2 linked regions of the Callithrix jacchus genome follow. The protein of the gene in region 1 interacts with the protein of each later gene in a biochemical or structural test. Links are inferred from orthologs where the notes say so. Each region holds a gene or a part of one and is shown in the gene's direction. Other genes may lie near its edges.

Evidence for each region.
Region 2: the proteins of UBE2E1 (region 1) and UBR7 form a complex in vitro, tested with the Homo sapiens proteins (2 studies listed by BioGRID). The link is inferred for Callithrix jacchus from reciprocal best matches to the Homo sapiens genes UBE2E1 and UBR7.

Annotation. Positions count from the first base shown.
Region 1 is NC_133518.1:62,152,828-62,156,865, forward strand, and holds the start of UBE2E1 (ubiquitin-conjugating enzyme E2 E1), read left to right. Parts: upstream 1-1,178; 5' UTR 1,179-1,285; intron 1,286-2,443; 5' UTR 2,444-2,476; coding exon 2,477-2,628; intron 2,629-4,038. UniProt on the Homo sapiens protein: Accepts ubiquitin from the E1 complex and catalyzes its covalent attachment to other proteins. Catalyzes the covalent attachment of ISG15 to other proteins. Mediates the selective degradation of short-lived and abnormal proteins.
Region 2 is NC_133509.1:128,025,030-128,029,047, forward strand, and holds part of UBR7 (putative E3 ubiquitin-protein ligase UBR7), read left to right. Parts: intron 1-340; coding exon 341-474; intron 475-861; coding exon 862-922; intron 923-1,976; coding exon 1,977-2,072; intron 2,073-4,018. UniProt on the Homo sapiens protein: E3 ubiquitin-protein ligase which is a component of the N-end rule pathway. Recognizes and binds to proteins bearing specific N-terminal residues that are destabilizing according to the N-end rule, leading to their ubiquitination and subsequent degradation.

The DNA of each region.
Region 1 (4,038 bases):
TTAGAGTGACCTGTGGAAATCTGAGGCTGTGTCCTTAACGTACAAGACCTTGTATATGTGGCACTGTTGTATGGCACATATCTCTTTAGTTCCCTTCAACTGAAATGACAAATAGGTGAGAAACTAAATCGTAATTTGATGGCCTAATATTAAAAAAAATTAATTGGACAAAAATGCTACATAAGGAACAATTCAGAAGAATTGCTGATTATTTCAAAACTATTATCTGAATAGTATTTATATGTAGCTAAAGAAAGCACTGCGATCCCAGAACTTTCCATCCAATTTCCAAAAACCAAACCTTATATATAATGTAAAATGACACCCAAAATTCTAAATCCAGTCTAATTCAGTAGTATATAGCTTATTCCCAGTGATTTCTCACATTTGCAAGCCCGTTGCACGTTGGTTTCATGTGTCACCAAAACCTTTGTATTACTCTTATAAAACCACATCACTTTGTATAAAAAGTGACTGGAAGAATTTAATATTGTAAAACTGCACGTGCCTCGCGTGACCTGAGCAGAAAACTCCTGGTTTGGGATTTTCTCACAGGCGTGCCTAAACTGACCTCTACTCCTAGCAGGTAAATTGCTAGAAGAAGCAAGTGTCAGCCCAAAGAAAACCCCTGTTGTGTGCTTTTTTTTTTCTCTTTAAACTGATCGCTTTTTAGGTGGAGTTCCCGCTGCATTCTCTAGACCAAAGTCCTTGCTTGCCACCAGATTACCATCTTTTTCACCAATTTGCCACCTCCCTACCCTTCTCCTTTCCAAAAGCCCTCACTGGAAAGAACTTTCTCTCTTGACCCCCCTATTCCATCTAGTTCCAAACGCTCCCAGAGCCTCCCACCTCCGTCGGCTTCCCCTCTCCCGCCTAGAATCCAGGTTCCCAAACCACTTAAGAGGAAATTCACACCCCTCGCCCCCTTCCCGGGCGTCCGGAGGAGACGCAGGGGTGGGGGTGCGGGGGGAGCAGGGTTTTCTGGGGTCTCCTGAGTCTTTCTCGCGCACCCTCAGGAGGTGTTGCAGGGGGAGAGGAGCGCGGGTGGGTGGGACCGGGCCGGGTGGGGGAGGGGTGAGGGCGAGGAGGAGGAGGAGGCGGCGGCGGCGGAGGAGTGGTGTGTGTGCGAGCGTGTGTGGCTGGGGGAAGCCATTGCCTGTTTAATAGTTGCTGTTGCTGCACTTCCGCTTCTCTCCCAGCGAGAGAGAGACACGAGTGGCCAGGCCCAGCCGCAGCCGCAGCAGCAGCCGCCGCGGCGGCACGGAGGAGCCAGACACAAAGAGAGGTACGGGGATCCCCCCAGCGGCCCGCCGCCCCCCGGCCGCGCCGCCGGCCTCGGGGACACCCCTCGCCGCCGTCCCCGACCCGCACCGCCCCGGCCGCCGGGGCGCCGGACACGGGGCCGGGGGAGGGGTGGTGGCGGAGAGGGGCTGGGGAGCCCCAGGGGTCCCGGGCCCGCCCGCGGGGGATGGGCAGGGACCCCGGGCCGCGTGGGTTGCGGGGCCGCCCGCGTCGGGGCTGGGGGTCATTGTGGCTCGAACTGTCAGCGCTGCCCCAGGAGCCCCCCCACTGGCCGCCGAGGGGGCCGGGAGCGGGGGTGGGGGGGAGTTGGGGGAGCCCTGTTTTCCCCAGGGGCGCGGGCTCCTGGGGATTTACCCCTCCGGGGCGGAAGGGCTCATTGTTATTTCTTCGCTGCGGAGGCCGAGCCCCCCCCACCCCACGCCGCAGCCCCTATCCCCCTCCACGAGTGGCGAACGGGCGTGTGCTCCGGACCCCCGCCCGGCTGCGCAGCCCTGAGCCGGGCGGCCCAGAGGCAGGCCGCCCGGGAGGGGCGTCGGGGCGCGGCGCGGGGGGGGGGGGGCTCGGGCCTCGTCGCCCCTGCCCCCCGCCGGCCTCTCCCTTCCCCCACCCGGGCACCCGTTCCCCGCCTCCGTCCCCCTGTTTCGGCTTCCTCTCTTACTCCTTCCCGCCCCTCCTCTCTTCCCGACCTCGCCAAACTCCGTTCGTGGCCCCACAGTCTCACCCGGGCCACCGGTCCCCCACGACCCCCGGAAAGCGTACAAAAACAGCCCCGAGGCCGGCCGGCCGCCGGGACCTTCCCTCCCTGCCCCGCTGCGGCGCCCCGCGCCCCCACCCTGCCCTTCTTCGCCTCCTGGTTACTCCCTCCCTGCCCTGCGGAGAGCCCCGGGGGGTGAGGGAGGGGCTGCTCTCCGAGCTCCAGACCGTTTTCCCACCGCGTTCCCTACTTGGGGCCAAAAATAAACAAACAAGCCGCGTCCGATTTGCAAAAGCCTTAATGGGCCTGCAGACTTTGAAAAGCGAGTGGAGGGCGGTGGGCGGCCGCGTGCGCCCCTGGTCAATGCCCTCCTGACAGCACCCGAGTTCCTTATTTACACTGGCTGCATGGTTTGTGTGTTTCTGTTTTGTTTCCCTCCCCCTGCAGGGGCTGTTTGCGGGGTGGGGTGGGGGGTTCGATATGTCGGATGACGATTCGAGGGCCAGCACCAGCTCCTCCTCATCTTCATCTTCCAACCAGCAAACCGAGAAAGAAACAAACACCCCCAAGAAGAAGGAGAGTAAAGTCAGCATGAGCAAAAACTCCAAACTCCTCTCCACCAGCGCCAAGAGGTACCGTACTCTTTTTTCCACAGGCTTCCTATTTTCCGAACTGCCTCTTGCTGCATTTGGTCTGCCTCCCAACGAGGATAGCTTAAACGCTCCTCACGGTTTGTGTGTTCTTAAAAATGAAAGAAGGGCCTTGGAAACCCTAATTATTTTCTCTATTGCTGCTTCTGTTTTTTAAAATCATTGCCCACATGCAGCTGTTGCGGCTTGGCTCTCGCTTTTCTCGCCGAAGTTTGTAACAATCCTCATCTACTTTTATTAGCGAGCCCCAAATCTGATTTCAGATTCCTTGTCCCACTTAATGGTTAATCTGTGACCTTCCCCAAGGCCATCATCCTGTTTCTTAATTACTAATAACCTGCTCAGACAACTGCATCGAAATGGATTCTATGACCATTTTACCTTCTTTTCACCTGTTGCATGGATGATCTTTTTGGAATAGAGCTTTCTCCACAAATTGTAAAAGGAATAAGAAACTCATATGAGCAGGTACAAAATTTCGTAGGTGAAGACAGATATTCTCTGATGGAATTTAAAGAGATTTTTCTGAGAGTTGAGACGAATGAATCAGTAAGTGATGTAAAATGGTTATTGTAGGTTATTTTTGTGATTCTCTTTGAGAACTTCAGTTTACCAAATTTCAGGGAGACTTTTTTTTCATGCTATTTGCTGTCCTCATGCTGTAAAAATGCTACTTTGCCTTATTTTTTTCCAATTTAAGCTGTGTCTCTTTTTCTTTATTCTTTTCCTCTTACAGCTCTTGGAGGTAGCTACTTTTTACACCTGCCATTCTTCAGTAATATCCTCTGATCCCCATGACACTTAAAATAATCTTTAGTAGATTCCTAGGAACTCCGAGACACCTTTTTAGAAATCCTTCTGCTCTCAGAGTTAGACAGTTAAAAAGGTGGCAAAACGGGAACATAGTAGGGAGTCCGAATGGTGGGTTAGGTAGAGAAACCCTTAAAAATTTTTAATGTAAAGTGGAACATGAGACTTTAGATCTGTCCACTGAGTAGTGAGCCAGGAAGTCAGGGTTTGAGGGTTTGTTCTGTCATTCTGCCTGACTTGTAATTTGAAAATTTGGCAGTGTTTTGGTGACCTAACCATGGGCTGATGGAGTGACTTTTAAAAAATAGTGTGGAGGTCTTAGGTGCCTCTGCAAGATTGTTCTCATTTTTATAGGTTTGGTTTGATCGTAAATCTTCCCAGGAGGCCTAACTGACCCTCACTGATTAGCCCTGTTTGGTTCTCCTGGAACCTGGCATCCACCCTGCCCACTTGGGATGGGCCTTTTCGCAGCACTGCCCTCCACCTCAAGCCTCTAGGCTCCCTGATCCTCATTTAGCTTTTGGCCTCATGTGCTCACGCCAGGATACTTGCTTTGGGCAATTTGCATCTTTATATTTTGCT
Region 2 (4,018 bases), on another chromosome or scaffold:
TTGTAATCCCAGCACTTTGGAAGGCGAAGGTGGAGAATTGCTTGAGCCCAGGAGTTTGAAATCAGCCTGGGAAACATAGCAAGGCCTCATCTCTGCAAAAAATAAATTAGAAAGAAAGAAAAAAGTGCTTGCATGAGAAAATCACTAGTATAGATGTGAAATGTGCAACTGTGTTTTGGTCGATGCTCTGGATTGTAAACTTCTTAGTCTTAATGGTTTTTACAGAATGATCTTGACCAGACATAATCTGATTTTAATTATTTTTCAGTTCCTAGTGTGAGTATTATGTAAACCATGCTATTACATTAATTCTCTTTTCCATTTTTGGTCTGTCTTTTAGGGCTCAGTAAAGAGACAAGCACTATATGCCTGTAGTACCTGCACCCCAGAGGGAGAAGAACCAGCAGGAATTTGTTTAGCTTGCAGTTATGAATGTCATGGAAGTCACAAACTATTTGAGCTATACACAAAAAGGTAAACATAGTCAGAGGTTGTTATTAAATACTTTCTAAATGTATGCATTCTTTTCCATCTACACTTTTTTCCTAATCTTGTTTTTTCATGCAAAGCAGTTGTACACTACTTTAGTAGTGAAATTTATTATAATTATTTTATATAATATAATTGGAAAGAGTTGTTTCTAGAGCCTTTAAAAACATAATATGGTACAAACTCAAACTAATCATCTTTCTCTGCCATCGTTTTACTTGTGTGTGTTTGTGTGTATATGATATAAATATTTGCTTTTGTGTATATTAATTTCCAGAATTGTAGTCTTATTATATGCTTGAATGCTTGAAGAAATTTTAAATTGGATTTTGTAAGACGAAAAATAGAATTGGCCTTTTCTCCTTTTTTCAGAAATTTTCGTTGTGATTGTGGAAACAGCAAGTTTAAAAATTTGGAATGCAAATTATTTCCTGTAAGTAAGCACTATAACTATAAATGTAGTTAGAACAGCTGAGGTTGATATTTGCCAGAGTGGGTAAAAAAACAAATACCTATATTTTCCAAAAAAGAAGTTCTTATTCTTTGCAGATGGGCATTTCATTTCTTACTTAGTTGGAAAAACTATAAACTGTCGAGAGCCTACAAGATAGATGGTAGTTAATATGAAAGGTTTGGGGGAGAGATGTACTTGAAAGTAATTCAGGTTTAATTGTATTGGTTGTGCTTGTGCTCTGAGGCTTTTAAAGCAAAGGATATGACTTAATAACAATAAATAGGCTGGGCCTGGTGGCTTACACCTGTAATCCCAGCACTTTGGAAGGCCAAGGCAGGCAGATCCCTTGAGGTCAGGAGTTCAGAACCACTCTGGCAGTCATGGTGAAACCCTGTCTCTACTAAAAATACAAAAAAATTGCTGGGCATGCTGGTACGCGCCTGTTATCCCAGCTACTCTGGAGGCTGAGATAGGAGAATCGCTTGAACCCAGGAGGTGGAGCTTACAGGGAGCTGAGATCATGCTACCGCACTCCAGCCTGGGTGACAGACCGAGACTCCCCACCACCAAAAAAAATACATAAATAAGGCTGGGGATGGTGTCTTACACCTGTAATCCCAACACTTTGGGAGGCCAAGGTGGGTGGATGGCTTGAACCCGGACCAGCTCAGGCAACATAGTGAGACCCCATCTCTATCAAAAAGAAAAAAGAAGTACTTTGAAATTTCAGGCCAATATCAGTTCACATAGGTTGATAATATTTATGATTAACTTTTATCTCCACTTTATTGAATATGTGTATTTAATTTTTCCTAATTACCACGAAAAAGTACAAAAAAATTTTATATCTTCCCTTCACCCTGAAAAAAGTATCCCTTTAGAAGTAGTGAGTTTTTTCCTCCTACTTTGAAAATTAAAGATGAGCCTCTTGGGGAAATAATGTGGAAATGTATTGAATGCATAAATTTTATAACATGTGAAATTATACTTAAAATTAGACCATATTATTATTGAAGTCAATATCATATTTCAGGACAAAGCAAAGGTAAATTCTGGCAATAAGTACAATGACAACTTTTTTGGATTATACTGCATTTGCAAGAGACCTTATCCTGATCCTGAAGATGAGGTAAGAGAATTGGGACTCAACCTCTTGTCATATGCAAGCCTCTGGCTCTTCGGGAGGGAGTGTGGGATGGTGAAAGGGTTCTAGATTTATCTTTTCTTATGAATGTGGGTTGGATCTATAATCGGAACATAACTATTCATTTTTACATCATGAGATGAAATACTGGAGAGGATTTTCCCAAGCCGGACCTTCTTTCCTTCCTCTCCTTCCCTGACTGCCTCCCAGCCCCCAAACACTTTCTAAGAAATGGCTTTCAATTTCTTGTGTCTCTTTAAGAAATAGGATATACAAACAGTGTCCTCTTAAAAATGACAATGAGAACTATATGCAAAATTCAAAATGAGTTCTTCCTCACTCCTGTACTTCTTATCTCCCAGGCATAACCATGTTAACAGTTGGTGTGTATATTTTTAGGCCTTTTTCTGTGCACATGAAAGTGTTTGAGTGAATGTGTATTTCAGTGTGTAGTTTCCTTTCTATTAACAAAAGTGAAAATTCTGTACACTCACTTCTGCAACTGGCTTTTCTCACTTACCAGTATATCATAGACATTCTTTCATGTCAACAAAACACACTTACCTGTTCTAACTGCTGCAGAGTATCCTCTAACTTCACACGCCATAAGTTAGTCAGCCTAATTGTTCTTCTGTAGCAGAATGTCATTGTCTAATTTTTCAATATTATAAAGAAAGCTAGAGTGAACATCCTTACACAGTAATAGAGCTGAGTATACTCCAAGTATTTATGTAGAATGGATCAGTAGAATTAACAGATCAAAGTGTATTTGTGGTATTTAAAATTGTGATTGGCCAGGCATGGTGGCTTATGCCTGTAGTCCTGGCTACTTGGGAGGCTGAGACACAAGAATCACTCGAACCCATGGGGCAGAGGTTGAAGTGAGCTGGGATTGTGGCACTGTACTCCAGCCTGGGTAACAGAGTGAGACCCTGTCTCAAATAATAATAATAAATAATAAAATTGTAATCATATCTGCCAAAAAAATTGAACCACCAACAGTATATGATAGTGTTTTTTCCCCAACAACTTTTGTTAATGCTGCATATTAACAGTTCTTGAAATTCATTTTGCCAATCTGATAAATGAAGAATAGTATCTTAAAATTTTTTTTCTTTCCCTGATCATAAGTGAAGTTATGCATCTTTTCATGAGTTCATTGGACATCCATAATAACCTTCTCTCTGAATTGTCCTTTCTTATCCTCAGACCATGTTTTGATTGGTTTGGGTTTTGTTTGGGTATTTACTGATTTGAAAGAGTACCCTTTGTCTTTAGAGATATTAGCCTTCTGCTTCTTCCTTGCTTTCTAATTGCCTTGGAACTATAGTTATTGAACCAAATTATATAGATGGACAGATTGAAGGTCTCTGAGTTAACAAAAATAAAAGCTTAAACTTGGATATTTCAAGGTATGTGGTAAAGTGTTATAGCTCCTCCCATTCCACAATATGTGCTTTTTTTTTTTCCGCTTTAAGAAGCCACAATAGGAAAAGGACAGAACAACATTGGGATGTTAATTAGTAGTTATGAGAGCCTGCGAATAAAAGAAACTCATCCCCAAAATAGTCTTTGTCCTTTGGTATATTATTTTTCTAGGGTCAGCATTTAATTATTTAATTTATTCAAATTAGAGGAGTTATCTCTCGAGGGGTTTTTCATAACATTTACTTTTCAGTTTACTTGGCAGTATGGTTTTTCTGCAGCCGAAAGGCGTTGTCTAATTTTTCAATATAAAGAAGGCTAGAGTGAACATCCTTACACAGTAATACAACTGAGTATACTATCCCTAAAGGATGGTGTGCTAAAAAGTCCCAGTTTCACTGTCTGCATTGGTCCACTCACATTACTTGCCTGGGGCTGAGTTTATGTATAAAATGGGAATGCCTTCCTTGTCTGTACAGTTTTGTGAGAATCAGATATTAAGTAAC